6 linked regions of the Oryctolagus cuniculus genome follow. The protein of the gene in region 2 binds, or shares a complex with, the protein of the main gene of each other region. Links are inferred from orthologs where the notes say so. Each region holds a gene or a part of one and is shown on either strand. Other genes may lie near its edges.

What was found.
Region 1: the proteins of GNA13 (region 2) and S1PR2 are in contact, whole or in part, in a cryo-EM structure (PDB 7T6B), measured with the Homo sapiens proteins. The link is inferred for Oryctolagus cuniculus from reciprocal best matches to the Homo sapiens genes GNA13 and S1PR2. Residues at the interface, in NP_006563.2 of Homo sapiens: Arg47, Val216, Phe359, Lys363, Asp364, Ile366, Leu367, His368, Asp369, Asn370, Leu371, Gln373, Leu374, Met375, Leu376, Gln377; in NP_004221.3 of Homo sapiens: Ser66, Met68, Tyr69, Leu72, Arg130, Ala133, Ile134, Lys136, Val137, Lys138, Leu139, Tyr140, Tyr209, Ile212, Val216, Ser219, Gln227, Thr228, Leu231, Leu232, Val235, Tyr288.
Region 3: the proteins of GNA13 (region 2) and ADGRD1 are in contact, whole or in part, in a cryo-EM structure (PDB 9V0U), measured with the Homo sapiens proteins. The link is inferred for Oryctolagus cuniculus from reciprocal best matches to the Homo sapiens genes GNA13 and ADGRD1. Residues at the interface, in NP_006563.2 of Homo sapiens: Val49, Val216, Phe218, Phe359, Val362, Lys363, Asp364, Ile366, Leu367, His368, Asn370, Leu371, Gln373, Leu374, Met375; in NP_942122.2 of Homo sapiens: Asn599, Arg601, Leu657, Met660, Val661, Ile662, Val664, Phe665, Ser667, Val737, Ile738, Ile741, Ala761, Val764, Asn810.
Region 4: the proteins of GNA13 (region 2) and GNB1 are in contact, whole or in part, in a cryo-EM structure (PDB 8H8J), measured with the Homo sapiens proteins. The link is inferred for Oryctolagus cuniculus from reciprocal best matches to the Homo sapiens genes GNA13 and GNB1. Residues at the interface, in NP_006563.2 of Homo sapiens: Ser31, Ile34, Asp35, Leu38, Glu41, Lys42, Val45, Lys50, Gly205, Ile206, Glu208, Lys219, Val221, Lys231, Arg232, Trp233, Phe234, Glu235, Cys236, Phe237, Asp238, Ser239, Val240, Arg279; in NP_001269468.1 of Homo sapiens: Gly53, Leu55, Lys57, Tyr59, Gln75, Asp76, Lys78, Ile80, Thr87, Asn88, Lys89, Val90, His91, Ala92, Ser98, Trp99, Met101, Leu117, Asp118, Asn119, Tyr145, Asp186, Met188, Asp228, Arg314, Trp332.
Region 5: the proteins of GNA13 (region 2) and GPR35 are in contact, whole or in part, in a cryo-EM structure (PDB 8H8J), measured with the Homo sapiens proteins. The link is inferred for Oryctolagus cuniculus from reciprocal best matches to the Homo sapiens genes GNA13 and GPR35. Residues at the interface, in NP_006563.2 of Homo sapiens: Lys46, Arg47, Leu48, Val49, Lys214, Asn215, Val216, Phe218, Arg331, Gln337, Gln338, Lys340, Pro341, Leu342, Tyr343, Phe359, Arg360, Asp361, Lys363, Asp364, Ile366, Leu367, His368, Asn370, Leu371, Lys372, Gln373, Leu374, Met375, Leu376; in NP_005292.2 of Homo sapiens: Phe45, Gln51, Thr53, Thr55, Met59, Asp113, Arg114, Ala117, Val118, Pro121, Leu122, Arg123, Arg125, Arg128, Ala197, Leu198, Arg201, Pro202, Thr204, Asp205, Gly207, Gln208, Ala211, Ala215, Met218, Val219, Ala280, Lys281, Glu282.
Region 6: the proteins of GNA13 (region 2) and GPR4 are in contact, whole or in part, in a cryo-EM structure (PDB 9JHP), measured with the Homo sapiens proteins. The link is inferred for Oryctolagus cuniculus from reciprocal best matches to the Homo sapiens genes GNA13 and GPR4. Residues at the interface, in NP_006563.2 of Homo sapiens: Arg47, Pro341, Tyr343, Phe359, Lys363, Asp364, Ile366, Leu367, His368, Asn370, Leu371, Lys372, Gln373, Leu374, Met375, Leu376, Gln377; in NP_005273.1 of Homo sapiens: Gln45, Asn50, Arg115, Ala118, Val119, Ala120, Pro122, Leu123, Ala126, Ile204, Val208, Ser211, Val212, Ser213, Thr214, Glu218, Lys221, Ile222, Leu225, Asn290, Glu291, Gly292, Ala293.

What each region holds. Positions count from the first base shown.
Region 1 is NC_091447.1:67,121,623-67,125,474, reverse strand, and holds S1PR2 (sphingosine 1-phosphate receptor 2), read right to left. Parts: upstream 1,880-3,852; coding exon 818-1,879; downstream 1-817. UniProt on the Homo sapiens protein: Receptor for the lysosphingolipid sphingosine 1-phosphate (S1P). S1P is a bioactive lysophospholipid that elicits diverse physiological effects on most types of cells and tissues.
Region 2 is NC_091448.1:11,458,553-11,463,476, forward strand, and holds the start of GNA13 (guanine nucleotide-binding protein subunit alpha-13), read right to left. Parts: upstream 3,104-4,924; 5' UTR 2,875-3,103; coding exon 2,592-2,874; intron 2,006-2,591; exon of another isoform or gene 1,124-2,005; intron 357-1,123; coding exon 130-356; intron 1-129. UniProt on the Homo sapiens protein: Guanine nucleotide-binding proteins (G proteins) are involved as modulators or transducers in various transmembrane signaling systems.
Region 3 is NC_091452.1:1,765,952-1,770,970, forward strand, and holds the start of ADGRD1 (adhesion G-protein coupled receptor D1), read right to left. Parts: upstream 3,251-5,019; 5' UTR 2,777-3,250; coding exon 2,720-2,776; intron 2,629-2,719; coding exon 2,592-2,628; intron 1-2,591. UniProt on the Homo sapiens protein: Adhesion G-protein coupled receptor (aGPCR) for androgen hormone 5alpha-dihydrotestosterone (5alpha-DHT), also named 17beta-hydroxy-5alpha-androstan-3-one, the most potent hormone among androgens. Also activated by methenolone drug.
Region 4 is NC_091438.1:163,949,605-163,953,915, reverse strand, and holds part of GNB1 (guanine nucleotide-binding protein G(I)/G(S)/G(T) subunit beta-1), read right to left. Parts: intron 2,355-4,311; coding exon 2,316-2,354; intron 602-2,315; coding exon 495-601; intron 1-494. UniProt on the Homo sapiens protein: Guanine nucleotide-binding proteins (G proteins) are involved as a modulator or transducer in various transmembrane signaling systems.
Region 5 is NC_091434.1:847,804-852,892, forward strand, and holds the start of GPR35 (G-protein coupled receptor 35), read right to left. Parts: upstream 3,063-5,089; 5' UTR 770-3,062; coding exon 550-769; intron 1-549. Other genes in the region: CAPN10 (calpain-10), read right to left, coding at 3,750-3,779, 3,884-3,929, 4,039-4,235, 5,015-5,089. UniProt on the Homo sapiens protein: G-protein coupled receptor that binds to several ligands including the tryptophan metabolite kynurenic acid (KYNA), lysophosphatidic acid (LPA) or 5-hydroxyindoleacetic acid (5-HIAA) with high affinity, leading to rapid and transient activation of numerous intracellular signaling pathways.
Region 6 is NC_091449.1:11,334,686-11,339,771, reverse strand, and holds the start of GPR4 (G-protein coupled receptor 4), read right to left. Parts: upstream 3,150-5,086; 5' UTR 3,144-3,149; coding exon 3,028-3,143; exon of another isoform or gene 1,720-3,027; intron 1-1,719. UniProt on the Homo sapiens protein: Proton-sensing G-protein coupled receptor activated by extracellular pH, which is required to monitor pH changes and generate adaptive reactions. Activated by an optimal pH of 6.8-7.2.

The sequences.
Region 1 (3,852 bases), on a different chromosome or scaffold from region 2:
CCTTCCATCCATCCACAGGATTTAGCCAAGTCCTGCCGCGGCAGGAGAGGGGAACAGCGCCCCCAGGAGGCATCCTTGGCCATGACCCCACCCCCTTGCAAGGAGGCACAGCGGGCTCAAGGCTGCCCTGCCTTTGGGGGATCTGGTACCTGGGTTGGGTGGAAGGTGTGGAGGTGGGCACCTGCGGGGGTGGGGGTGGCTGTTTGGGGGTGAGGGTCCTGTACAAACATCTCCCTCCCCTCCCCGATTCTTCTCAAGTTCCACCCTACCCCGCCCAGAGGCCCGAAGCCCTCCAAAGCCTCTTCAAACTGGTTTTTCCAGCCCTTGGTAATTCTTCTGCACCCCAGATAGTGCAAACGAACCAATGAGGTCTGAGAACAGGGAATGAGGCATAGCCCCCGGTCCCCTCCCCGCCAACGCCACATACCCAGTGGCATCGGAGGGGAAAGGGAAGAAGTGGCAGCTAGCGACATCCAGGGAGCTCCCGCGAGTCCTGGGGACAGCGGCTGCAAAGGAGTGGCGGGAGGGGGAGATCCAGACAGGGGAGCTGCTGCACACGGGGGCCGCTCCAACGGTTGGGAAATGTTGAAATCCTCCGTACCGAGTGGTGAACCGTGCGCCCGCCTGCTGTCACCCTGGCCCTGTACGGGTCCTTCCCCCACCCTGGGGTCGCACTCCAGGACACCACCTGCAGAGCCGCCACCTGCCAAATGTTGTGCGGGAGTCTGCAATGTGGGAGGGAGGGGCGCAAGGGGCGTGGCTTATCTGGCAGCCCCCCTCGCCCAGTTTCTGTCTGAGGTCACCCAAGGCGGCCCCCTCAGACCACCGTGTTGCCCTCCAAATACGTGGGCGACGTGGGCATGTGCACGCCCCTCTCCAGGGAGCTGGAGCTGCGGAGTGGCAGGAGGTGGTGGCCCGGGGTCCCGCTCCGCCGCCGGCCCGGCACCCCGGCCGCCCGCCGCCAGCATTGCAGCGGCCGCAGCACCTCCCGCCGCAGGTCCCGGCTGCGCCACGTGTAGATGACGGGGTTGAGCAGCGAGTTGAGGGTGGCAAAGGCAAAGAAGTACTGGGCCTTGTAGAGGACCGGACAGGCCCGGACGGGACAGGCGTAGTCCAGGAGGAGGATGCTAAAGGCCGGTAGCCAGCACACGATGAAGACGCCCAAGACGATGGTGACGGTCTTGAGCAAGGCCAGCGTCTGCGGGCCGGCCACGTCGGCGTGGCTGGAGCGGACCACGCAGTAGATGCGCACGTACAGCGCCACGATGGCCAGCAGGATGACGGAGAAGATGGTCACGACACAGAGGACGTAGGCTTTGGCGTAGAGCGGCAGGACGGTGGAGCACGCCTCCAGCTGGCCCAGGCAGTTCCAGCCGAGGATGGGCAGGCCGCCGAGGACCAGCGAGATGAACCACGAGGCGCCGATGAGCAGCAGCATGCGGCAGCTCTTGTCGCTGCCGTAGAGCTTGACCTTGGCGATGGCCACCTGCCGCTCGATGGCGATGGCCAGGAGGCTGAAGACGGAGGCGGAGAGGGTGATGAAGGCGGAGCCCTCGCGGGCGAACCACTGCACGGGGGTCAGCCCCAGCGTGACGGAGCCGGACAGCAGGGTGTTGGCCACGAAGGCCACGCCGGCCAGGAGGTCGGAGGCAGCCAGGTTGCCCAGGAACAGGTACATGGCCGAGTGGAACTTGCTGTTCCGAGCCACGGCGATGAGGACCAGTAGGTTCTCCAGGACGATGGCGCAGCACAGGACGACGATGACCGCCGAGGCCACCTGGCGTGAGGGCGTCTCCTGGGTGTCCAGCGTCTCCTTGGTGTAGTTATAGTGCTCCAGGACCTTGCTGGGATTCAGGTACTCAGAGTACAAGTTGCCCATGGTGGGGCTCAGCGGCCGGCCGAGCCCATGAGGCTGTCACAGCTGCAGAGGACGGAGAAAGAGAGAGACCGACAAGTCAGAGCCCTGGCGGCCGCCGCGCGGAGGGCTCAAGTTCAAGGTCTGGCTCCACCACGCTGCGCGCACGCGGAGTCTCGGGCTGGTCACCACCCCTCCCCAGGGTCTCAAGCTACCCCCGCCCCCAGGCATGGGACAGGCTGGTGGGGGCGGGACTCCTGCATAAGGAGCGGCCTGAGTCAGGGCGAGCTCCCCCAAGTGGCACAGAGGGTACAAAGTGGCCTTCCAGGGCCTCCCAACGATTGTTTCTCTTCCCCAGCACACACGGCAGCCTTGGGCCGCGTGCTGCCTCTGCTGACCCAGGTCAGCCAGATCCGGGCTGCCGATAGCACCCGCCACTGCCTGGGGACTGCAGGCTGAGTCGAAGCCTTGAGGCTGTGTGCGCTTCCCAGATAAGGTCTTGGGGAGACACAGGGCGGCCCCAAGACTCCAGCATCACCGAGGTCACATCATCTTGGAGGCCACGGACCTCGGAGGCCATGCAATTCACTCCAGCCTCTGCCCCGGACAGCCTCATCCATGCAGCAATGGGAGAAAAAAAACCCATTTCTCAAGACTTAGAGGAAAATGACTAAGGAGACACTGTGGACGCCTCCTAAGCGCTCAGCAAGTATTAGCTGACGTCATTGGCTTTCCTCTTCCCATGTAGGACTGGGTGCCCCTCACCCAGTCTCTAGGGATGGGGTGCTGAGGAGGCCAACCACAGCCCCAGCAGCCAGTTCTCACCAGCACCATCCGGCTCTGCCCAGGGACAGGAGGGCCCCAGGAAGGGCGGGCAGGGCGTTGGCACCCCCTCCCCACAGGATGAAATCCAGATGTGAGGCCCCTGGAACAAACAGGGTGGAGTTCTCAGCTCCCAAGTCACATCCGGTGTGGGAAAGGCTTGGGGGGGTGGAGTTGGATGGGGCAGGGGGGCGCCACCAGAGACCAGTCTGGGAGGTCCTGGACCAGGCGCGATGCGGCAGCTGCTGCTGTAGTCATGTGAGCCGTGAGGGGGCGTGCAGCCCCGCGGGGAGGGGGCCAGGCATTTGTTTCCATGAAACACTGAGTCACTGCCCCCCCCAACACCTTCAAGGAAAGCTGAAAGGTGGGGGGAGGGAGCGGGAAGATGCAGACCCCGTGACTAGCTTGGGGCAGGGGAGGGCGCAGGGGTGTCGAGGAGCCCCCCCCACAAGGAGGAAGCTCCAAGCCTTAGCTGAGGAAGGAGGGGGGCCGGCGGCAGGGAAGAGCCATTCCCGTCCCTGGAACCCGGCCTGGGAGGACCACGTGCGGGCTAGAAGCTCTGTTCCAGAAAAAGGCTGGTTCGGCCGTTCCCAGAGAGCCCGGGAGTGATGGGGGGCTTCCGGGGTTGCCCCGCCGTCCCTGTCCCCGGCCACCCGCTCCGAGGGGCGTCCTGGTCCCCGGCCCCAGGGAGGCATCTGCCCCCCTAAGGCGGAGGGACATCCGTCCTAGTTTGGGAACAGAGAAGGGCTTGTGCACGTCCTCGGGGACAGCTGCCCCGCCCTGATCGCCAACAGAGGCCCCCTTGTTTCCTGGCTGGACAGGGCCCCGAGCTGCCCTGGTGCCCTCTGCCCGCCGCAGCCGGCCCCGGGGCTGCCTTGGCCCAGGCTGCTCCGCGCGTGGGCCGCCGCCGTCGGACCGGAAACAGCCTGCACCTTGATTGGCTCCTTTTCAATCCCAGCACACTGAGCGACGTGCCTATTGGCCTGAGCTTTCCCTCCGCGGCCTCTGATTGGCCCAATGGGGAGTGCCTTAGGGATCGGGTCAGTTAGGGGCGATAGGAGCTTGGTCTTCTCTTAGGGGCCAAGTTAGAGCTATTTGGGTGTCCCTGGCCGGGAGGGGAGTGGGGTTTGAACCGCAGCCTGACAGCTGGGTCACCTCCATCAGTTGCCCATAGG
Region 2 (4,924 bases):
GACCTGATGCTACATTTCCACATTTTAGGGGCAAATTATACTGTGGAAGTCAGTGAAAAAAGTGTGCTAACAGTAGGCATTATTAGATATCTTTAAAATAAAACCACAATTTAAAAAAAAAGCTCTTACCAGTTGAAATTCTCGACGCCGGTCATAAGCATTCTGTATGCCACTATCTGCCCATAACGCTCTTATAGCTGGAAGGTATTGCAAAAAAACCCGCGTCTCCACCGCTCCCTGGGACACCGCACGGGCCCGGGTGTCAAAAGCCATCATCTTGTCTCCATGCAGTTGGTTTGCATTATCTCCCCAAGGAATGTGAAGCTTCTCTCGAGCATCCACCAGCACTCTCATACCTATGTTCAAAAAGAAAAACGGGAATGGGGAAGAATCGTGAGATACTATCCTAAGTTTTCATTCCAATATTATTTCCTTAAACTTAACTACTGCAGCCCTCCTCCTCCAAAAATAGAGACCAACACCAAAACAAACCCCAGTATCTCCCCAGCTATGGAAAGCAGTTGCTCAAGGTTGCAAAATTAGAGCCTTGAAAAGTAAATACTAAGAACACAATTGCTCTTTCTGCGGGCCTCTCACATGTTGCAATTTATAAAGTAACTTCTGGGGTAGACAGTGGTCAAAGGAAAACTAAAGTAGAGGAGAAAAAGAACTGACGCTGCACTGCCCAGTGTCCAAGCTGTGAAGATGACGGCTGCAAGCACTGGTTCATGAGGCTGTCTAAGACACTTACTTTACTTAATACTAAGAACCAACACTACAGCTCTGCGTTCAGTTCTTTCCCTGAGTCTTCTAGGAATACATTCAAAACTCAAAAACTTCTCCCAGACCACACTCAAACGAGTATGAGGCTCAGGGGTCTTACAGCTCCCCTAAAAGGGTGGAGGGCCAATTGCAGAATGACCTAGAAACAGACTTCAACTCAGAGGCTAGGTCAAACTCACATCCCTCAGGAAACTGTTACCTCTGGGCCACCCTGCCAGTCACATGGCTATTAGCAAGTCATTTGTTTGGATAATCCAGGAGCTGTTTGGCTGTCAATTTCCTGAGCATGCTAGCTCAAAAATAAAACGAAATGCCTAGCTGACTAGAGGAGATGACTTAACATCACCTCATCATCAATGCTCAAAGTAGGTCACCTGTAGGACCCAGACGTCTGAAGAGCCAGAATCAGTTATCATGCTGACTCTAATCATTATCCTAATTCCTCTACATTCGGCTGCATCACAATACAAAGCCACCTTCAATTAAGGACCTGCCAGGCAGTCTGCGGCCTTGAAAGAGATTTTAGTTTTGTGCCAAACACTGAGGCAGGCTCAACACGACTGTTCTTTACAGTCTAACTGCAGAGGCACCAGGGCTGAGAGCTGGCTGTGTGCGTGAGCTCCGGCCCGCGTTCTCCAGCCACTACCCCACAATGCCTCCCTCTCTGTGCCGTCTGCCTCTACACGAACTCTGGGAGGGGAAAAAAGTGAGCTGAGGGAGTTGCTTCTGTACTTCCTGGACAAAAGCCCTGCAAACTCCTGGATAACCTGCTCTCCACACAGCAGGCGACAGATGCACCTGAGCCAAGTGACAGGCGCAGTCCCTCCAAGCGTGGAAAATGCCTGACACTAAGAAAAAGGCGAGCTCGTGACGTTTCCAACGACAAAACAGCAGCTAAATTCCCGATCTCCTTGAACGCCTCCCAAATAAAGATCTCGTGTCTGTTTCACTTAGGAACAAAGTTCAATTTCAAAACGCCCGTCAAAAAGGAGTGGAGCCTATCATCCCACCCAACAGTAAGTCACTGACTTCCCCTGGCCAGCACCCGCGTTACTTTCAGGCCAGAGAGCCTTCTTAGCACAACACAACTTCGACAGAAAAGGCAGGATGGGGACCCCACTCCCTCCCCAGCTATTCAGCAACAAGCGATTACAGGCGCCCACCGCGGCGCACCGGAGCGCTGGGGCGAGAACCCACGGACGCGCATCATGTTAGACCAAAGGTATGGGTCTACTCTTTCCTGCAGCCAGGACCAACAGGTGACACCCTCCAGCTTCACATCCCGGCCCCCCCAAAGCCCCAGGGGCTGTCCCTCTATGCCCTAGGACGAGAGTCCGAGGCAAGAGTTTCCCGACTGCGCCGGGTCCAGAACTCGCTCCGGGGGCAGCCCAGCAAGCCGGGAGCGCCCCCGACCTTCGGCGGCTCGGGTCACCCGACCCCCGGGGCCGGCGAGAGGCGGCTGGGGCGGGGTGTGCGGCCCCGTCTGCAGGGAGGACGAGGGCAGAGGCCACCCCGCACCCCGTGGCACCCGGCTCGCCTCACTTCCCTCTCGGACGCGGCGAAGCCAGCGGCCGGGCTGGGGGCGGGGGGCCGGCCGCGACCCTCTCCTCGGGCGGCCAGGGGGAAAGCGGGGCGCCCCCGCCCCTAAGCGGCCGAGGGCACAGCCGGCGGGCAGAACCCGAGCCCGGGGCGCGCCCCGGTCCTCGGCCGGGTCCCGAGCGGACGAGGGCGGGGTCCGGCCCCGCGCACGCCCGCCCGCCGCCCCGCGTCCCCGCGTCCCCCGCGTCCCCCGGTCCCCGGCCCGGCACCTTTGATCACGTTGCTGTAGATGGTGGCGCGGAACTCCTCGCGCGCGCGCTGGTCGAAGTCCTGCCCGTGGATGATCCGCATCTGCTTCAGGAAAGTGGACTTGCCGCTCTCGCCCGCGCCCAGCAGCAGGATCTTCACGAGCCGCTTCACGTAGGTCTTCTCCCGGGACAGGCATTTGTCGATCTCCTTGGACTTGCGCTGCTGCTCGGCCTCCCCGCTCGTCAGCACGCAGCCGGGAAAGCACACGGACAGCACGGACCGCGACGGCAGGAAGTCCGCCATCTTGCCGCCGCCGCCGCCGCCTCGGCGGGCCCCTCCGGCTCCCTCCACCTCCTCCGCGGGCGGCGGGCGGCTCCGGCACCGCGGCTCGAGGGCGGGGAGCGCTGCGGCGGCCCGAGCGCGCCCGGGGAGGGAGGGAACCAGAGAACTGACTCGCAGGGCGGGCCGGGCAGGGCGGGCTAGGCGAACCGGGGAGGGAGGGAAGGAGGGCGGGCCCGGGAGGGGCGGCGGCCCCGGGGGCGTGCGCGCGCCCGCGGCCTCGCAGGGCACGCGCACGCACGCACGCCGCCTCCCGCCCAGGGCCGCCGAGTCACGCGCTCGCCGTCCCGCTCGCTCGCTCGCGTGCGCGCGCGCGCGGCTCGCGGAGCCGTGGTCACGTGGGCCGGCCTGGCGCGCGCCCGCGGAGCTGGACTTTCCGGGGCCGTGCGACTCCGGGGCAGTTTCCCGGAATCGCGGAGGCGGAAGACTCAGGTCCCGGGCGCTGCCCAGCTGCTGTCACCCTCCGCGCGCTCTAGCGCGAGGCCATTAGCTTGAAACTCGTTCCCGCAGCCGGCACGGGCGTGGAAAGTTTTGGGGGGCGTTTCTTAGCGTCACGCCCCCGACGCGAGGAGGCGCTTCCCCTGCCCGGGGCGATGACCCGACGCCGTCGGCTACCGCGCCCCTGCTCCTCACCGGGGCCCTGGGTCAGAGCTGACAGCACTGAGGCGAGGCCCGTGTGGCCGCAGCGGCGGGGTGGCCGGCGTCTCCCCGGGGCGGCGACGGCGGCCGCGCTCGGCCCCGAGTCCGCGCATGGCGAGCAGGGTGAGGTCATGGTGAAAATCCCCCTGCACCGGACACTGATGCAGACTCTTCCCCGCGAGGAAGCAGATAAGCAGGCAGGCCGAGGACGGAGCAGGCACCCTTTAGGTTTCCTGCCGCCGTGCAGAGGATGTGACCAGCCAGGGGGCTTTTTTTTTTTTTTTTTTTTTTTTTTTTTTTAATTTTTAATCCTCCCAGCAGCAGCAGATTCAGGCCAAGGCACCTGAAAGGGCTGCGAGTGACAGCCGGGCTTGGCCCCCAGAAGCCGGCCTCTTCGTTCTTAGTATTCGGTTTCAGGTGGCAAAGGCCACGGCCGGTGTGTCTGTGTTTTGGCAATGCGACGTGAGACTCCTTGGTTTGGGCTCCTGTCACTCGGATTCCTGTGCGCTAGGCAGTTCGGGGGAAAGGTCAGCACTCTAAGGACAGGTTTCAGCGTCCACGTCAGTGCGCGTGGCCGAGTGTCAGGGGTTGAGTTAGTCACCGGCAGGCCTGATGATTCAGCCCGTTGGCCACAATGCCTGTAGTAGTAGGGCTGTCTCCTGCTGCCTTGGCCAGGCCGTGGGCTACCTGTCCACAGGCAGGGGAGCGCCCCTCCTGGAGATGTGGGTTGTCAGGGCCCGAGCCACCAAGCCTGGCAGCTGAGACATCCTGCATCCCATAGCAGAGTGCCTGGGTTCCAAACTCATCTCCAGCTTCCTGCTAGTGCAGACCAATAAAGAAATTGGTTTCCTACCACTGATATGGGAGATTTGGGATCCATTCCTGGTGCCTGGCTTCAGCCCACTCTCTGCCATTACGGGCATTTTGGAAGTGAACCAGCAGATGAGAGTATCCCCACCCCCCACCACTACCCCCCAAAAAAAAGAATCACTGGGTAGTACTGTCAGGCAAAATGTACGCTGAATGGCAGATGTTTCTCTAATCCCAGCTTCTGCTGGGGAGACCCTGCTCTCTCACCCTGCAGTTGCAGCCCCTTGCCCAGGACAAGGACACAGCTCTGGCTGAGCACTCTCTCAGCATGCACTCTGGGTGCCAATGTGAGCTCAGCAGAGAGAGAAGGGAAGCCTACACATTAGGCTGAGTAACATTCACGTCTCTGTCTCTCTCTCTTTTCCCAATTGGGTGCAGCGAAATGGAAAGCCAAGCAAGGATGCCTAGGAGGGAGAAGATGATCCCGCCCAGCCAGTTCATGTAGTGGCACGCAGAATACCAGAGAAAGCTATACAAAGCCCTGCGTGTAACCTTGTCTTGGAAC
Region 3 (5,019 bases), on a different chromosome or scaffold from region 2:
GCCGCTGTGACTTCTGGGGCGGCGGGCTCCTCAGGAAGCATTTTCTCTGCCTCCTTCAGGTCGTAGAGAGCAAATCTGTGTGGGGCCAAGACTGAGCTCACAGCTCCTGGAAGTTTAGGGTCAAGAATGCAAGTGCGTGTGCGTGTGCGTGGACCGCACAAATGTCCATGGGCATGTGTGGCTGCATAGACATGTGTGTGGACACCTGTGGGCTGTGTGGACATGTCTGTGCACAGGTGGATATGTGTGGACTGTGTGGATGTGAGTGCATGTAGATGTGTGTGGGTACATGTAGACATGTGTGGGCACATGTTGGACGTGTGAGTGCATGTGGGGTGTGTGGACTCTGAGGACATATGTGGATGCATATGAGTGGATGTGGATGGACTCCATGGACACATGTGTATGTGTGTGGACTGGGCACATGTGGACTGTGTGAACACATGTGGACGTGTGTGGGCACATGTTGGACATGTGTGTGCATGTGGGGGGTGTGGACTCTGAGGACATATGTGGACATGTATGGGTGGATGTGGATGGACTCCATGGACACATGTGTATGTGTGTGGACTGTGTGGGCACATGTGGACTGTGTGAACAAATGTAGACATGTGTGGGCACATGTTGGACGTGTGCGTGCATGTGGGGGGTGTGGACTCTGATGACATATGTGGACACGTATGGGGGATGTGGATGGACTCTGGACACATGTGGATGTATGTGGACTGTGTGGACACATGTGGATGTGTGTGGACGTGTGTGGACACATGTGGACGTGTGTGGACTGTGTGGGCACATGTGGACTGTGTGAACACATGTGGACATGTGTGGGCACATGTTGGACGTGTGTGGACACATGTGGATGTCTGTGGGCACATGTTGGATGTGTGAGTGCATGTGGGGGTTGTGGACTCTGAGGACATATGTGGACGCATATGGGTGGATGTGGCTGGACACCTGTGGGCTCTGAACTGTGTGGATGCATGAGAACACATGTAAATGCTGTCTCACAAGGCAAAGTCTGAGAAGAGCCCCAGCGCTCCTTTGCCACGCGTGGCTGCCCTTGTGAGCGGCTGGTTCTGTGGCTCCGGGACATGCCAGCTCTGCCTGAGCTCCCTGCTCTGCAACCGCTGCCCGAGGAGAGCCCCTGCTCCCCGTCTCCCGTCACTCCTCCAGCGGAACCAGCGTGAGCTGCAGGCGAGGCTGGGCGGGAGAACAGGAGTTGCGAGGCACGGGCAGCCTCTGCCTTTCTCAGCCCCAGGCCACGGACACCCTGCTTGCTTTCTTTGGATTTTCTGGCTGAAGAAAGGAGGACGCAGGGCCACCACAGCATCCACACCTTCAGACAAGGGACATCAGGAGCACAGCGGAAGTTCACATGGGGAGCAGAGGCCGCGTCCCAGCGCCGTGGCTGGCACACGGAGGCCGTGACAGTGACTGCTCCGTCCTGCGCCGCGACACTCAGCAGGGAGAGCAAAGCCGAGAGCCCCCTCCCCTCCCCCCCGCTGACACCCGTGTGTCACGGGCGCTTGCTCAGAGCAGGGCTTCCTGGGAGCTCAGGTCGCACCTGCACTGGGGCCCCCAGGGCTGGCCGGGCCTGGCGTGTCTGAAGGTGAGTCCTTGGAAAGGGGGGCAGGGCTGCTCGGAGGAGAGACAGCAGGTCACCAGCGGGCCAGCCGAGGCTTAGAGCCCGGCAGAGGTCTCACCACCACACATCCTCCAGCAGCAGACATGCGTGGCATTAGCCGGCAGCGGGTTCCTGCCACTCACTGGCACCTCCCCCCTTCCCACCAGATATGCACCCCACACACCCACCAAGGACACACCTGGCCCCGACACTACAACGCTGAGCAGCCACAGTGGCCAAGAGGCTCCGAGCCTGTGCCATTGTGCAACACGTAAAGCTGCCGCCTGCAACTCCGGCATCCCACAGGGGCACCAGTTCAAGTCCCAGCTGCTCCACTTCTTGTCCAGCTTCCTGCTAATGGCCTGGGAAAGCAGCGGAAGACAACCCTAGTACTTGGGCCCCTGCACCCACGTGGGGACCCAGATGGAGCTCCAGACTGCTGGTTTTGGCCTGGCCTAGCTCCAGCCGTTGTGGCCATTTGAGGAGTGAACCAGCAGATGGGAGGTCGCTCTCTGTCTCTATCTCTAACTGCCTTTTACATAAATAAGATCTTTAAAACAAAACAAAAGATAAGAGGCTCTGTCTGGAGTGAGGGTGCTCCCTCCGTGCCAGGTGCAGGCACGGAGGAGAAATCCCCCCCACCGAGGAGACATCAGGGACGGAGTGAACCAGCACCTGGTGGGGGAGGGGGGGGGAAGGGGGGCTGCAGCATTTGTCTGTCACTGAAGATGCGAGACGCGAGTCGAAGGAGACAGAAAATGTTCAACCCCAAAGGAGCGCATTTGCTTCATCGAAAGACTTTGTTCTCACGACCCAAGCAAGAGTCGGCTGGACAGGAGACCTGCTCCCCACCCACGGCTGTGGAGGGCCAGCGAGACGGGCAGCCCACCAAGGGCCTGCGCGGAGCCCCTCGAGAGAAACAGGGTGCCCACAGCAAGCAAGAGAGCACGGAGGAAACTCTCACCTGGATGGTCCTGGATCCTGGAGTCGGCGCCATGCACCTGCACGCAGAAGACCACAGCATGAGACACACCCGGGACACGCGGCAGCCGGCAGCGTCCCGGCCGATCCCAGGAGAGCCCCAGGACCTACCTGGAGGTTGCAGCAGAGCGGCAGCAGCCAGCAGCCCAGAGACAGCAGCCTCCTCATGGTTCCCTCGGCTCCGGGGGCCTGGGGGCGTCCCTGAGTTCCGGGCGGCTCCGGGGGCCTGGGGGCGTCCCTGAGTTCCGGGCGCCTGGGGGTGTCCCTGAGATCCGGGAGCGGCCCCTTCAGCTTTCACTTCCCTGGGAAAGGCGCCTTCTCACGGGTTCAGAAGCAGCAGGGTCGGAGTCTTCCTCAGTGTGTGCGTTGCAGCTGCCGAGAGTGCTAATGGGTGTTCCTTCCTGGTCTGCAAACTTGGAATTCCTCAGTGATCGATAAACACATGGCAGCTGGCAGGGCCCCCGCGGAACGCGATGCAGGGAGGAGAAACCCCAGTCGGCTCGCAGCCCCGGGCAGGCTGTCCCGAGCCAGCAGGCAGCCCCGGCCGTCAGCCTCTGCCGCGTATTTCAAGAGCTTCCTTGGCCCCTGTCCAGGTCTGCGACCGGACTTTCCTCTTGTGCTTGCAGTGCGGGAGAGAAGACGCCGCGCGCAGCCGTGCGCCCCGGAGCTCCTGCCCGCCCTGGGCTGGCCCTGGCTCCGGCTGAGCACGCACCGCGTCCCCTGCGGGTGGAGAGCAGTGAGTGATGTCAGAGGCTCTCCTCAAACTTCGGGCTCTCCGTTCACACCCGGCCTGTCGCTGCTGCGTCTTCCTGGGTCCTAACACCAGCCTGTTAGGAACAACCGGGAAGATCTGCAGGGTCAGAAGCAGACCAAACCGACGTGTGTGTATGTGTGTGTGTGTGTGTGGGAGAGAGGGGGGGGGGGAGAAAGACGCCTTCCAGTCGGCACCCTCAAAGTCAGCATAGATATGAAACACAAAGTGTAAATCAAACTGTGAACTCTGTTTCCACCCACGCCCCGGGCGCCCAGAGTGAGACACCAGGAGATCTATGGGCCAAAGTGGGAATAAACACAGCGCCACGGCTGCCACACCGAGCCTCAGCCTTAACCCTTTCAGAAGTCGGGTGTGTGATGGGCCGCTTTTACGGGATGTCCCGCGTGATCACGTACCCCCACCACAGCACCCAACGTGATAGCATCCGACCTCAGCCAGCTGGGCCTCCGTTTGCCCACGACGCACAGTTTATCCGAATGACTCCACATGCAGCCTGCCCCTCCCCAGCTGCGGGTGCTTCCCATGCTCCGCCGCACCCGGCTCTCAGCACCGACACCGACACCCTCCCCCCTGCACTGGGCTGCGGGGCAGAGCACCGCGCCTCTCTGTTTCCAGCCGGGCCTCTGACAGTGTGGGTGAGAAAGAAGTGGAGCTGGGAAAATATGTAGCACTCAATAAATGGTGCCATTTCTTACGAAGAGAAAACCTCACTGGGCGAGGATCATTATAAAGCAGAAAGTAAACGCCGGCTGATACTGTTATCTCCACTGTCCTGACTTTAAATGGGAACCAAGCGTCCCGAACCCACACGCTTCCTAAAGAGGACAAGAAAATGGCTTGCATCGCCCCGGGGGAGAGAGACGCTGATGTCAGAACACAAGGTGATTATTTTTAACTTGCGCCTGCCTCCGTGGGCCCTGCAGATTCTCCGATAGCCTGGGCTGCAGCAGGTTCCCGAGGTTTCTGTGAACTCTCCCCCCACCCCCGGCACTTGCAAACCCATGGACTCCACGACCTTTATCCCGTTGCCTGGGTGTGAGCACTGGGAGGACAGTTCATGCCTTTATCTTTGCCTCCCGTCCACCGCCCACCTGCCACCTCCCTCCGACTGCCCTGGGAGGAGGCAGGCACCACAGCGCTAACTTGAGATGAATTAAACAGGTGCTAAGTCCATGCCTCTCTCACTTCCAAGACTGAGCAAAGCAGACATGGCCGTCTTTCATTCCTTGCTTGCTTTGAGAGACAGAAGGGGAAAGCGAGCTCCCGTTGGCCCGTTCACTCCCCAGATGCCCACGGCTGGGGCAGGGCCAGGCCGAAGCTGGGAAGGTCTCCCGCATGGGTGGCAGGGACCCAGGGCTGCTATCATCGCCGCTGCTTCCTGGGGCGGAGCAGTCAGGCACCCCAGTGCCTGACCCACAGGCCAAACCAACCTCCCAACACACACACACATTTTTCTAATCAATAAATTGCTATCACATAATGAGAGGCTGCACTCAGACTAGAAACTGATGCAGAAGAATTCGGCAGCCCCTGCCCCAGGTGTCTACACGCTCCCTGGGCTGCAGGTTCGTGTGCTCAGTGAGAGAGCAGTCCTTCCTGAAGCGTGGGCGGGCCTGGGTCAGGGGACTTGGGATTG
Region 4 (4,311 bases), on a different chromosome or scaffold from region 2:
GGGTGATGGCCGCAGCAAACACACACACCCATGCACCTGCTGGGGGCCCCAACCACAGAAACCCAGGCACAGCACCACCCCACAGGCTGCTGCTCTCAGGCTCTCTCTCTGGGCCTCCCGCAGCCCGGAGCAGGCGCTGAAATCACAGGAGGGCCAGCAGCCACCAGAACAGGCCGCGCAGTGCAGAACACAGGGACAGAGGAAGGCCACTTCCCAAGGCCACGGCAGAGCACAGCGGGGCGGAGGGAAGGTGGGGTTTTCCAGGGAGGAGAACCTGAGCCACACAAGCCAGCCTGGAGCGGAGAGGAAACAGCAGAGTGGAGTGGGCCAGGTGAGCGCAGACCCGCGCACAGGCCACGCCTGGCCTGCTCATCTGACTCCTCCTCCTCGTGTTGCTCGCTACAAAGTACAGCAAATGAGTCCGGGCGACCTTCCCAGACAAGAGAGCCTCGGTGACGTAGCCGGCACGGGCTGCCGCCGTGGCCTGTGCCTACCTGGAGTCCGTGCCCCAGTGCATGGCGTAAATCTTCGCCAGGTGCCCCCTCAGCGTTCTCCTGGTGCGCATCTGGATCCTCCCCACCGGGTCGATGTTGTTTGTGATCTTAAACACGAAGGTTCCTGAGGTTAACATCTGTGACCACACGATCTTCCCAGAGCCCTCCTCCTCACCCACCCAGCAGGGCCCAGCCATCCTCCAGCTCTTCAGGGGCACCAGGGCCCTCGGGACTCTGAACAGGGCTGCCGTTTCCACGGGGCGTGAGGACACACCTGTCCCCCTGGCGTGCACACACACGGCAGCCCGGCTCCGCCTCTGTCTCAGGGCCCGGGGCCACCACGGGCACAGCCTCCAGCTCCGCCCATCTGTCTCAGGGCCCGGGGCCACCACGGGCACAGCCTCCAGCAGCTAGTGCTCTGCTCCTACCTCAGGCCACGTGTGGGCCTGGACAACACTCAGCATCGGTGTCTGCACGCCAGCACCCACCCCACAGGGCAGACACCGACAGCAATGCCTCCAGGTTGGCAAATGGGCAAAGCACACCCAACAATGAGTCTTAAAAAATGGACAGTCCACAGTGCGCCCGAGAACTGACAGCTGTGATTCTACGCTGCAAGAATTCCTTCTTACAGCGCATCCCCTTCAGTGTCTGGATCGCCTCATGAACCAAGTCACCTGCAGAGGGTGAATCTAACTTTTCTTTCACTATTCTGTCCGATTCTTTAACTTTTTAAAACTCTGTTACAGTGCCCACTCAGGGCATGCTGTGCAGCCCTCACCACTGCTCGCCTCCCCACCCACCCAGCGGCCACCTCCTCCTCTCGCCCCCACGATCCCTGCAGCCACCAATCTCCTGTCTTTAACTTAACCATTCTGGGTATTTCATACACACAGAGCTACACGTGGCTGCATTCCCTTTCACGGCTGAGTAATATCCCACCGTGCAAACACACCACCACACGTTTGTACGCTCATCCACTTATGGAGAGCTGGATGGTCTCCTCCCTTGGCTGTGTGAGCGGCGATATGAACACTGTACAGCCATCCTCCTTTAACTGGTTTCGCTATGCATGGCTCAGTTTCCTGTGGTCAATCGCAGTCTGAAACTATTACATAGGACATTTCAGATACGGACAATTCCTAAGTTTAAGTTGTGAGCCGTCTGAGCAGGAGGATGACATCCACTCCGGCCTGCTGGTCCTGTCTGGGGTGTGGTCAGCCCTCGGCCCGTGGGACCGCGCTGTGCCCACTGTGGTCACCCAAGCTGCGTCCCAGCCCCGTGTCGTCTGCCTCACTGCATCTCCTCGCACAGGCGTTGTTGTCACAAGTGTGAGTACAGGAAGATTAATTTTTTGAGACAGATCATATGCACAGATTTCCTGCAGTGTTGTTTTTATGATATTCCATTATTAGTCCGCAGCGATGCCCTCTGTAGGGTCTGTGTACACGAGGCTTCAGACACCCACGGGTTTCGGTGTGCGTATCCTACTGAACACCCGCTTGAACGCCGGCTTTTGATCCTTTTGGGCACACAAGGAGCCATGGAGCTGCCGTTCAAGTGTCTGGGGAGCTGTCAGGCCGGCCTGCGGAGTCCAGTTCTTGGACCGACTGGCCACGAAGGCAGCGACACGCCGCCTGACTGAGACAGCAGTCTTCTGCCCTGGCAGGGAGCACTACGCGGGCTGAAGAGACGACGCGAACACAGAACCCCTGTCTCCTCCCACGTCTGGACGGCTCCGCAAGACAGTGCCCCGCAGTGGTCTGGCAGCTGCACGGGCAGAGCTCACTGCGGAGGGCCCAGGCTCACACCGGCTCTTACCTGAGAGAGCGTTGCATCTGCACATGCTTTCCTAGCATCCTAGGAAGCAACACAAGAGAGGTGAGCGGTGTCCAGGCAGGGGCCACCTGGGGCCTCACAGCGTCACTGTGGAAGGAAAGCACCCCCCCCCCAACACCCACCATCCACCGCACTCGGCCACTCACACACAGCGACCGTGGAACCCGGCACGGGGACGGCACCAGGGCAGGGCCCCTGGGCGCGGGGCTGCCCTGGCCTTCGGCGCTTCTGAGCAACCACGCTGGCTCAGCGCCTGCACAGCTGACCCAGGGAGGACGGGAGGCTGGCGCCCAGGGAGAGCGGTCCAGCAAGGACCTAATGACCAGCCCAAAAATCTCTTCGGGACAATAATTACTTTGTTGGATTTAAATTTCACAGAAAAGAGCAAGGCGTCTGATCAGACTGCAGATTCAGATGAAACCTTCTGACTTCTTCCTGGCTCTATCTGCTTTCTTATCTACGAAACGACGAAATGCAGGTACACTCTGCGGAAGGACACGCCATCACTAACATCAAGTGAACAAGGAACTAGACAAGTGTGGAATCTTAAATGAACATATATTTTTATAAATAGGGAGATATAGGGAGCTGGCGCTATGGTGTAGCAGGTAAAGCCACCACCTGCAGTGTCAGATCCCACGTAGACGTGGGTTTGAGTTCTGGCTGTTCGGCTGTTCCACTCCCGATCCAGCTCTCTGCTGGGCCCCTGCACCCATGTGGGAGACCTGGAAGAAGCTCCTGGCTCCTGGCTTTGCATCAGCCCAGCTTCGGCCGTTGGAGCCATTTGGGGAGTGAATCAGCGGATAGAAGACCTCTCTCTCTCTCTCTCTGCCTCTTGTAACCCTGCCTTTCACATAAATAAATAAATCTTAAAAAATAAAAATAAAAAAGCAATATGTAAAAGAGAACTTCAAAAATCAACAGAAAAATGGAACTGAAAGATAAGCTAATTTGGGCACAATATTTTGAAACCCAGGCGTGATTTTATAGTACATATATTCTATGAATTTCCTGAAGACCTCTGTACACTAGATGCAGTAAAATGAGAACACAGCTTTAAAGGCTCACAACAGGAGTGTGGGCAGCCCCTCAGAGGCACTCAGGGCGATGTCCAGTAAGACACAGGTCTCCATGCTGCTGTGAGCTGACACTGCAGCTGGGTGTTCCCAGGAGATCCGATTTTAGGGGCAAACTTCCCTACTGTAAATTTTTATTTTATGAAGCCAGTGGGGATATCTGTGAATTAATAATATAAAGAAACTATTGGCCGGCGCTGTGGCTCACTTGGCTAATCCTCCACCTGCGGCGCCGGCACCCCGGGTTCTAGTCCCGGTCGGGGCGCCAGATTCTGTCCCAGTTGCTCCTCTTCCAGTCCAGCTCTCTGCTGTGGCCCGGGAAGGCAGTGGAGGTTGCCCAAGTGTTTGGGCCCTGCACCCGCATGGGAAACCAGGAGGAAGCACCTGGGTCCCGGCTTCGGATCGGCGCAGCGCCGGCCACAGCAGCCATTTAGGGGGTGAACCAACGGAAGGAAGACCTTTCTCTCTGTCTCTCTCTCTCTCTCTCACTGTCTAACTCTGCCTGTCAAAAAAAAAAAAAAAAAAAAAGTCCAAACCACACTAGAGTTTAAGACAGCACCTTCAGAGTCAACACAAATGGCTGCCTCAGTGGGTGCCCGTCGTGGTGCGGGGGTCAGACGCTGTGTGGGCCCACGTCCCACAGCCAGCTGCCAGGTCAAGTCTCATATCCTGCTCCTGACCAGCTCCCTGCTAGCACGCCTGGGAGGCAGACAATCGCCAAGAACGTAGGGCCCTGCCCCCCACGCGGGAAACCCAGATGGAGCTCCCAGCCGCAGTCTGGCCAAGCCCTGTGGGGAAGCTCTGCTGCTCGGCTTTTTTTTTTTTTTTTTCCTAAGATTTATCGATTTTATTCCAAAGGCAAAGTTACAGAGAGAGAGGAAGAGACACAGAAACTGAGAGAT
Region 5 (5,089 bases), on a different chromosome or scaffold from region 2:
GCAATTTAACAAAACCCAAGCACCAAATCATGTATGTCTCCTCCTGCTGGGGCTGTTGCCGAGTGCCCCCACCCCCACCCCGGCCTCTGCCCCAGCCCCAGCCCCGGTCCCCAGGCAGGGAGACACTGCAAACACACGGTGGTCAGAGAGCCTTCTTGCCCAGGAGACAAGACCCAGGACCGTCAAATGGCACAAAGGCCCCTGCCTTCCACCCCCCGCGCCGCCCACGGCCTCACTGGGAGACTGATTACCTGGGTGTGGGCGGCCCTGGGGACAGGGCGGCCTTGAGTCTCGGCCCCACACATACGTGGTTGTAGTCGGCAGTGAGACAGGGTCCCAGCGTCACGGGGCCCCGGCCTGGGTGGAACAGACAGAGCCTCAGTCTGCCAGTCCTGTCAGCGCCTGCCAGTCCCAGCCCAGGCTGGGGCGGTGCTGGGGTGGGGGAGGAGTGGCTGGGGTGGGGGTCCCAGCTTGGCCGGCGGGCGGCTGCTGCCTCGGTCTGAGCTCCCAGCTGCCCCTCACACCTGCTGCCAAGCCCTGCGTACTCACCGGAAGCGCTGCTGACCCTGAGGCTGAGCCAGGCGGGGGAGAGGCAAGGCCAGGAAGTAGCCCTGGGGTTGGCGCGGGGCAAAGTCTGCAGGAGGCCAGGGAAGGCACGGCCCCACCTGCACGGCCAGGTCCTCCAGGGCCATGCGCAGCTCTCCCCCACCCCTCCCCCAGGTGTCAAGCGAGGAGGTGGCCCCACCCCACGGCTGCCATGGCGGGCCATGGTGTGGTCAGGGACCCAGCCCGGACATCACGGCCTGCGCGTGTTCTGGAGTTCTGGGTGCCCTGCCCAGGGCTGGGGGTTGGGGCCATGGTCAGCAGCTTCTATTCATGTCTGGAAGGGCGGGCGCAGGCTTGGGGGCGCTGTGTGCCCGAGACCCAGTTAAAGCCAAGGCGGCGGTGTGAGGAGGCGGCTTTGGGAGGCGCAGCCCTCACTCATGGGATTGTGCCCGCTTAAAGCGACCCCGGAGGACTGCTCAGCCCTGCAAGAGGACACAGCGAGAGGACGGCCCGCGCCCCCGCGGAAGAGCTGAGGATCCCAATGGGTGAGGAAACTGGGGGCTGTCTCCGTTTGTAAACCATCAGCCTCGCAGAAACAAGCGGAAAATGGAAGACTGATTGACAGATGGCAGAGGGCCAGGGAGCAGCGGCGGGGCAGAGAGGGCGTGTCCTCAGGGAGCCGCCCCCAGGGGAGGGAGGGGCTCGGTGGGCCAGCAGTGGCTCAGGACAGGTGCACCGTCTCACGGGTGGTGATGGGCGGGGTGCTGGGCTCTGAGCTGCGTGGGGACGCGGGGTCGAGGCGGCCTCCACCCTGGAGCAGAGCTGCACCACGAGTGCGCCAGGGCCCCACTGGGGAGGCTCACACGACAAAGCCAGCAGCACCTGGCTCCTACCCGTCTCCCACACGCGGCCCAGGCTCTCCCTGTGGACAGTCCCAGGGCCACAGTCCAGACACCCACTGCTGGGAGGAACCCTTTGCCAAGGAAACCACGCTGGGAAAGAGCACCCTGGCCGGCCTGCTCTGCCCCTCCCCCAGCCTCTGCCTGGGTCAGGAGGACGTTGGGCCATGTGGTAAGTGGACACCGGCTGGGATGACCCAGCAGGTGGTCATCCACCCACGAGGTCTCTGCTGGAGGGCAGAGGAGGCCAGGCCGTCTCCAAGGCCCCAGCCGCACGCTCACGTCCAGGCCAGGGCCTCAGCTGGGACTCTGGACAGGGGAGGCTGTGGCTGGGCCGACTCTGCTCTTCCACAGGGAGCCACGGCCCTGGCCCTGCCCCAGAAGTGTCAGTGTCTCCAGGGAGGAGGGCACGGGGGCAGGGGGGGGGGGGGCACGCACCACGACCAGGGGCTGAAACCGAGGCAGTGCCAGGAAATGCAGGATTCGGAGCCCGCGGGGCCCGGGCAGCGTGGGGAAGACGCTTCCAGAGGAGGCCCTGGTCCCACACGGCCAGGCCAGCAGGGCTGTGCCCACCAGGTAACCGGCAGCCGCTGATGGTGAGACCCGATCTGCCAGGACGTGGCCAGCTGACCCCTGAGGAGCAGAGGCCGGGGGTGGGGTGGCTGGCTTGGTTCACCAAAAGCCAGGAGGCGATGGTGGTAACAGTGGTGAGGCTGAGGGCCCACGGGGGCGCTGGGGGCTGACAGCAGCCAGGCCGAAGTGGGCAGATCCTGGAGCACAACCCCCCCTAGACAGCAAAGCAAAACAGGGGTCTCCGACGCCGCGGGCAGGGCCTCACCCCACGTGGCGCCCGCAGGGCGGGGCCTGGAGGACTCCCAGGTGGAGCCGTCTCTAGGCCTCAGGTTGCTGGCGTGTGGCAGTTGTGGGGGCACCTGCCAGGAAGGTCGGAGGCCCCCTGTGGCACCCCAGCCTCTGCCATCACCCAGGACACAGCCAGCCCAGGAGGGCGCCCAGGGCTGATGGAGCTGGAGGACGTGGTGGCCACACAGGTCACACCTGGATCCGGCATGCCACGTCGGAGCCTCTGGGGTCTCCCTCCCAAGTCAGGGGCAAGGAGCTGCATCTGTGCCTCCCACCACAGGAGCAGGGCCTCGGCGGGGGGCAGGGTCTGGAACATGCGGTATACGCCTGCTGACTGGCAGCCTGGCCCAGGGCCTAGCGCGGACAGGGACACCTTGGGGCTGCCACGGCACAGTGTGGTGACCAGCCCAGCCCTTGCTGTGGACTTGGCATGCGCTGCCCGGATCCCCAAGGAGGTGCCATCCTGGCAGCGCAGGCAGAGCCAGCTCCCGGCGTTCTGTCTGCCCCGTGAGGAGCACGGGGTGCCATGTCCCAGGCACGGACGGCTTCCTCTGCCCTCCCCCCGCACAAGCGCGGGCCCGCGAACGCCGTGCCCCAGCTGTCTCAGAGCCCACGCGGAGCCCCTGCCTGCTAAGGCACCATGGAGGGAGGGGCCCAGCCCGGGCAGCAGCTCCTCTCCCCAGGGTGTGGCCACAGCCGCCTGCAGCAGGGTTTTGCAACTGACAAAGCCTCGGCCAGTCCTGCAGATGGCAGAGCTGGGGCGCTGGGGCAGGGTGGGGGATGGGCGCCTGGGGAGGCGGGGTGGGGGGAGGGGCGCCTGGAGGCTGGCGTGGAGCTGCCGGGGTGCGGAGGGCTCAGCCTCTCATGGGAACAGAGGCCTGGAGTGACCACAGGGTCTGAGGCCTGGGGCCAGCGGAGCCAGGATAGCAGGTGCCACCTGCCTCACGGGTCCTGCCGAGCTGCCCTTCCCACTCTGCCCCGGGGTCTGCCCTGTGCCCGCCCCTCCAAGCTCTTCTCTCCCCACTCACTGGCCAGGGTCGCCGTCAGTCGCGCCCCACAGGGGCTGGGTGGGCGGTGGACTGAGCTCTGGGCACTGAGCATCTCCAACAGCAAGTACTCGTTCATGTTTATTTATAAAGTTACGTCTTAAAAATGTCCAAATGACAAACAGGGTTAGCACCTGGCCCCGGCCCTGCTAACTGCCGCGGCTCCCGGGCAGCCCTGGGCAGGCTCCGGGGATGGACTGCCTGCAGCCCCTGCTCCACCCAGGGCCGCGTGCTTCACCTGGGTCCGTGTGGGCCAGAGGCACCGCGGCTCAGCCACGGCCGCCACAGCCCCGCGGCGGTGGCACAGGTGCAGGTCCCCCGCTGCTGGGCGGCAGCTGCCTCGGGCCCAACTCTGTAGCCGGCGTCCAGTGGGGCCTTCATCACGGCCGGCGTCCAGCTAGGCCTTCATCACAGCCATAAAGGACACCTGTGAGGGGACAGCTGCTTGCTGCCCGCCCCTCGCACGCCAGCGCGGGGACAGGGCCGGGGCCGGGGGCCGGGGGCGGGCGGGGCTGGGAGCCACATACGCACCTCCTGGAGGTGCTGCCCCAGCGTCTCCTGACTGTGGATGGACCGCCTGCGGAGACAGCGCCAGTCACCCCTCCCAGAAGCCCGCAGGCACAGGGTCCCTCCACCTCTGCTCTCGGCAGGACAGGCAGGGACGGGGCGAACGCTGAGGGCCCCACCTGTCTATCCTGGTTGCTATGGTCACCGTGAAGGCCCCCTCTGCGTCGGGCAGGTAGGTGGAGGGCACCACCCGGTAGGCGCCGGCAGACAGAAGGCAGAGCCGGCTCACTTCCTGGGCGCAGCGGTGCGGCACACAGCTCAGCAGCGGCTCCTGGAGCAGCAGAGGGGGGGAGCCCCGGCCCCCGCTGTCTGCCACCTGGGGAGGCCGGCACGCGCTCAGCGGGCTGTGGCCGCCACGGAGGGCTGCCCTCCTCCCTCCCTGCCCAGAGGCTCCGAGAGGCCGGGGCAGCCTGCTCCCTCCTCACCCACCCCGTTTGCTGAGGGACTCTCGGGCCCCGACTCAGCCCTCCCCAGAGGCCCCCACTAGCAGTGTCCAAGCTCAAGGAGCTGCGTCACCAGGGGCTTCGTTTGAAAACCCAACCCCTGCCCAAGCGTCGGCCAGAAAGCGCCTCCCCGGGCTCCTGGGCACGGAGCTTTCTCCCGAGCTCCACTGAGCGGAGCAGGCGGGGCTCCGGAGCCCTCGGCAGCCGCCTGGGCAGCACGGGCTCACCTTCAGGGGCTGGACCTTTGCCATTGAGGACCCGGCTGAGGTCCTCTCCTCCTGCCTGGCCCTGGCCCTGTCGCCCACAGCGTCAGGTGTCTCTACCTGCCTGGCTTTGTGTCCGATCTGAACACAAGGCCATGGTGGCACCCGGCAGCGGGCGGGCTGTCCACCGTGTGGCCAGATCGGCCAAGCCTGGGCCTGCCCTGTCCTACTCTCCCGGAACCCAGCCAGCACCCACTCCCCAGGGCACGAGCCAGCTGGGCCTCCGCCCCGGGCCTGGGGACCTGCCGAGGGGGCGTGGCTGCTGGGCTGACGTGGTGGACATGGACTTTGCAAGGGCTGGGGGTACGCCTTCCCTGCGAGCAGCCGGCCATCCTGACCCAGGCGCCTGCGGCCCCCCACCCCCGGCCCTGCCCGGGCGCGCAGCCTGCCTGAAAGACGTGGAAGCCGATGGGGTGCAGGTCGGCGGCGCCGTGCGGGCAGTGCTGCTGCAGTGTGATGCGGAC
Region 6 (5,086 bases), on a different chromosome or scaffold from region 2:
TGTTCTCAGCTGGTGCATGATAGCCAACATGCCTGTGGGGTGCCGTGTGAGGGCACCCCACTCCCAACAGGGAGATGAGGGCGATGCTCCGGCCCCCGTGCGCCAGCCCTGGCAGACCCCGTTCCCAGCACCTGGGTGGGCATCATCCCATGAGCACCTTGCAGAATCCCATAAAGAGGAGAGGAGAGGCCCCATTTGACAAACTGAGGCCAGGACCTGTCCAGGGTGCTGATGGGCGGAGGGGACCGCTCCAGCCTGCGCCCTGCTTGTGTCCAGAGGAGCCGTGGGCTGGCAGCCGAGGAGGGACAGAGGAGCAGGGAGGGGCCTCCTCTCCCCCTCCAGCCTCGCGGACAGAACCCTGGGCCTGGCACCCGTGGTCGGGGGAGAACTACAAGCAGAGCTCTGAGGACAGGCAGGGGCCGAGACCCCGACTGCGGTCAGCCCCAGAGGGAGGGGCAGCGAACCCCGCGGCACAGGCTCCCGCACAGCCATGCCCGCTTGGTTTTCAGTGGATGGGAAATCTTTTTCTCTGTTTTTTAAAACAAGATCTTAACTGGAAACCCAGGCTGAGGGCAATAAGGGGAAGGCGCCCTGCGCTCTGAGGGAGAGGGGGTGGGGAGGGCGGGCGCTGAGCAGAGACAGTGGCCGAGACTGGAGGGAGTCCCAGCTCTGGGTCCCTGCTGGGAGGCAGCAGGTGAGGGCTCACGCACTTGGGCCCCTGCACTCACGTGGGAGACCCGGATGGAGTGCCCGGCTCCTGGCTTCGACCTGGCCCAGCCCTGGCTGTTGTGGGCATTTGGGGTGCAAACCAGTGGATGAAGATCTCTCTCTGTGTCTGTCTCTCTGCCTTTTTTTAATTTTTTTTTTAAGATTTATTTATTTACTTGAAAGTCAGAGTTAGAGAGAGAGAGAGAGAGGTCGCCCATCTGCTGGTTCACTCCCCAATTGGCCTCAACGGCCGGAGCTGGGCCGATCCGAAGCCAGGAGCCAGGAGCTTCTTCCGGGTCTCCCACACGAATGCAGGGGCCCAAGCACTTGGGCCATCCTCCACTGCTTTCCCAGGCCATAGCAGAGAGATGGATCGGAAGTGGAGCAGCCAGGACTTGAACCAGCGCCCATATGGATGCCGGCACTGCAGGCAGCAGCTTTACCTGCTACGCCACAGCGCCAACCCCTCTGCCTTTCAAATAAAATGAAAATTAAAAGAACCTGCAGGACACAACGCTAGAAACCAGTGGCTCAGTCTGCTGGACAGAGAGGCACAGGGATGAGCCTCCGGTCACAACAGGGGTCCCTGGGGAGCCCCCAGACACCAGTCTCCTCCCCGCTCCACCTCCACACTGAGCCCTGGGTCCCGCACCTGTCCCAGGAGCCCCTGCCACCCTCCGCCCTGGCCCTGTGCAGCAGTACCGTCTCTGCTTTTCCCAACGGCCACTCAGGTCCTTCAGCAGAATCCTCAGCATACAGTAGGCGTTCAATAAATGACCATGCACAGAAGCCATTGAGGGCAGAGGCCAGAGGCCCGGGATAGGGGCAGCACTGGGCAGCCCGACCCCCTCCCCCGGAGGAAAGAAGCAGCCGAGGCAGGCTGCAGGATGTGCCCCGCTTCATAACTGACTTTGAAAGGGCAGGGCAGGCCCCCTCAGTAAGCCCCGCCTACCCGCTGCAGGGTCCTCAGACACAGCTGCAGCTGGCTCCCCGCCCCCACCCCACCCCCACCCCACAGTGGCCTCCGGGTCCTGGCGATGGAAGAGTGAGGTGGTGTGTGACCCCTGCCTTCAAGCCCAGACCTCCAAACACCTCCGGCCCCTCCCCGCTGAACCCCTCCCCATCCTCCTCCACTTGGTTCCGGGCCCCAGCACTCTATAGCCTCTTGGTCTCTCCCTCCTCGTTCCTGGGATGCGGGGCCTCAGCTGCCCCTCCCGTGGGAGGGCACACAACCTTTACCGGGCGCAGACCGCGGAGGCCCTGGTCGCACGTGCAGTGTCTGGACAGTGGTCCCATGAGCAGGCCCTGGAGAGCCGAGACCAGCACTGGGCCCGGCCATCACGTCCGCCCCACCCCTCTCCGTGTGTCCCCTGGGTTGTGGCGCGGCTGGAGCAGGTACACACCAGGCAGAGGAAGTAACACTTCCCACAGCTAACTTCCTCCAGGGGAGCCAGCGCAGCCCCGCCCCTTCCCCCCGCCCCCCCCCAGTGCACCTGCTGCTTAGGGATGCTGGGCGTGGGGGAAGGGCACCCTGCCAACTCCCTCTTCTTCTCAACCTGAGATCTGCCCGGCACTGAGCCCCCAGCAGCCGACAAGGAATGTCAGCCCTTTACAAAGCCATTATGCCAGGCGATGTCTGACCCTTCCCCCGGTACAGCGGGGGTAACCGATCGGCAAAGCAGCTGCCTAAGTCATACCATGTGACGGGGCCGTGGCCTCTGAGCCCCAGACTCCCCCTCCCTCAGCGGCTTTTCTCCCCACCTCCCGCACTCCCATTCTTTCCCCCCACGGCTTTCTGGGGGCCCCGTGAGAACGTGCTGGCCAACGCAGGCCTTGCCACCACAAGCAGAGCAAGTGACCCAGTGTCCCTCCGTCCCCTGGCCTCCCCCGCCAGCCCCTGGGGCAGGACCTTCTGCCGTTAGGCTCTAAGCTGACTTCCTTACTGGGGCTTTGTTGGGGCGAACCCCCAAATCTGGCAGCCAACAGGAAGCTCTCCCTGTCTCCCAGGTCCTGCGGTCAGCGGTCGGTTCCTGCTGCCTCTTGCAGGTCCCGCCCCCACCCCCTCCCTGAGGTCGGTGCTGGCCCCTTGCAGAGGGCAGGGAAGAGAGATAAGCCCTGGTGTGAAGCGATGGTGAGGAAGGGCAGATACTGTTCAGCCCTCGCCTCTCTGCAGGCCCCCCGCTGCTCCAGCTCAGATAAGTCCCTAGGCACCGGCAGGTACCCCCAGATCAGCAAGGCTGAGGGACTCACGGCGGGGGGAGGAGGTTGAGAGGACAAGAGGGGGAAGCGATGCAGACCCCACACCCCCAGCTCACTCACCGGCCGGCTGGCCTGTGCCTGAAGCCACCAGGTGGTCTCCCTTCCCCCCTCTCTGTGGGCTCTGGCTGCCCCCTCCCCAGCGGCCCCAGGGGACCAGCCAGCGCCGGTCTGTTCATTAGGGATGAAATGTGATCACCGCCCCGCCAGCGCTCCCCACCTGCTGCCCTGGCAGCCGGCGGAAACCAGGGGCAGCGAGGCCACCCTGGCCGCCCTGCGGGCCTCAGTTTCCCCACTTCTACCCCCGGGGAGGGGATGGGTCTCCACCACCCCCTTGCCCACGCTGCCCCAGAGGGACACTGGGGTCCTCAGCCTGTGCCCGCCTGATGTTCTACATTCCAGGCGTTTCCAGGTTCTATAGTCGGTCCAGTTCTGCAGGATAGAACGTTCTGTAGCATTCTAGACCTTCCCTCCCCTCCGTGCTGCTATTGTGGCCACCCGGGCTTTGGAAGTGCATAACCTTCTGTGTTTTCAATACTCCAAAGTCTCACATTCCAGGACTCTCCGGTTCTATTGTTAGAATGCTCTATGATTTTTTTTTTGTTTGAACACTCCATGACTTTCTGGATCTATTATTAAACCTCACTGATTTTTATCTCTGCCCCGCAAACACGCATTTCCCTTTTTCTACAGAATCGGGGCGCGCCCCCCTCGCTCGCTCTCTGTTCCCGAGACCTGCTCTCATCTCCAATTCCTGCAGCCCGGTTTCCAAGGTGGAGCAGAGTCCTGAGACCTGGCGGCGGGGACAGGGGGCGGCTGGGCGCCCCCGCCACCTGCACCCCGGATTCCCACCACCTGGGGAGGGAGGGGACATCAGACACCCCGGCTGCTTCCCCAGCCCTAGCTCCGCCGGGGCCCCAGCTCTCCTGGCTCACACCGGCCGCGTTATTATTTGTCTAGACACAAACCAAATTACAGGCCGTGTCCCAAGGGAACAGTGGGCTTCCTGGGGAGGGTGGGGGGGTGCGGGTGTCAAACCCCGCTCCCCCGCACTCTTCTCTCTCCCCCCTCCTCTGAAGCTCCGCCCATTCCACCCCCACCAACAGTCCCCACCCACCCACCACCCACCCACACACACCCCGCCCCCACCTCGGCAGCAAGGTTCCAGAAATATTTGCTCTGCACCCTCCCTTCTGGATTCTCGCCAGGCACCCACCCCTCGCTCCCTGGCAGCCAAGCCGGATCCCCCAAAGCAAGTCTAGGCAGCGGCAGCAAAGGAGGCCAGCACTCTGGATTTGGGGTCCTGAAGCTCCCCTTCCCCAGGGCAGGGCGGTGTGGGGGGGGAGCCTGGCTCTCTGACTGGCAGTGTGCCTCGGTTTCCCCACCTGTCACCCGCTGGGGGGTGTGTGTGGCTTACGCAGCTCCCCAGCCCAGCTGGAGCTCCAAGCTGAGAACAGCCAAGACTTCCAGGCTGGCGCTTCTGGACGGAAGGAGCACCCAGCTGCCTACAGGATCTGGGGTTTCCAGTCCTGCCCGGTGAGCGCACCAGCCTCCGGATCCTGCCATCCTAAGGTGCTCAGGTGCAAGGGTTCAGGGGGCTCTCCACGGCCCCCCAGCCCCTCCTCACCCTAAACCTCCTCCACGGAGACAGGGCTGGGTGGGAGGCTCCCTCCACGGGCTCAGGGGGCACGGGGAGAATCCAACTTGCATCCCACCATCCATCTCTCTCTCTCTCTCTCTCTCTCTCACACACACACACACACACACACACGCATGCACACACACCCCACGCTTCACAGAAACTGCTCAGCCGGTACACACGTGTGTGCGTGTGTGCGTGTGTGCAAGTGAAGTGTGTGTGGGGGGGTGAGGACAAGGCAGGAAGGAGTTAACGGTGACCGGCCAAATTTTGGAAGGAAGTGGGGGAGGAAGTCCACCCCCCCCCCCCAGCCAGGAATTCCTGAAACCTAACGGTGGGGTGCGAGGGACCTCAGGAGCAGCGGGTGACCCGGGCAGGGGGCGCTGAGACCACCTGCTCCAGGTCGCCATCCCACTGCCCCCTGCCCCCACTCCTAAGCAGCTTCCCGGCCCCCAGGGAAGGTCTGGGGTGAGGATTTGGGAG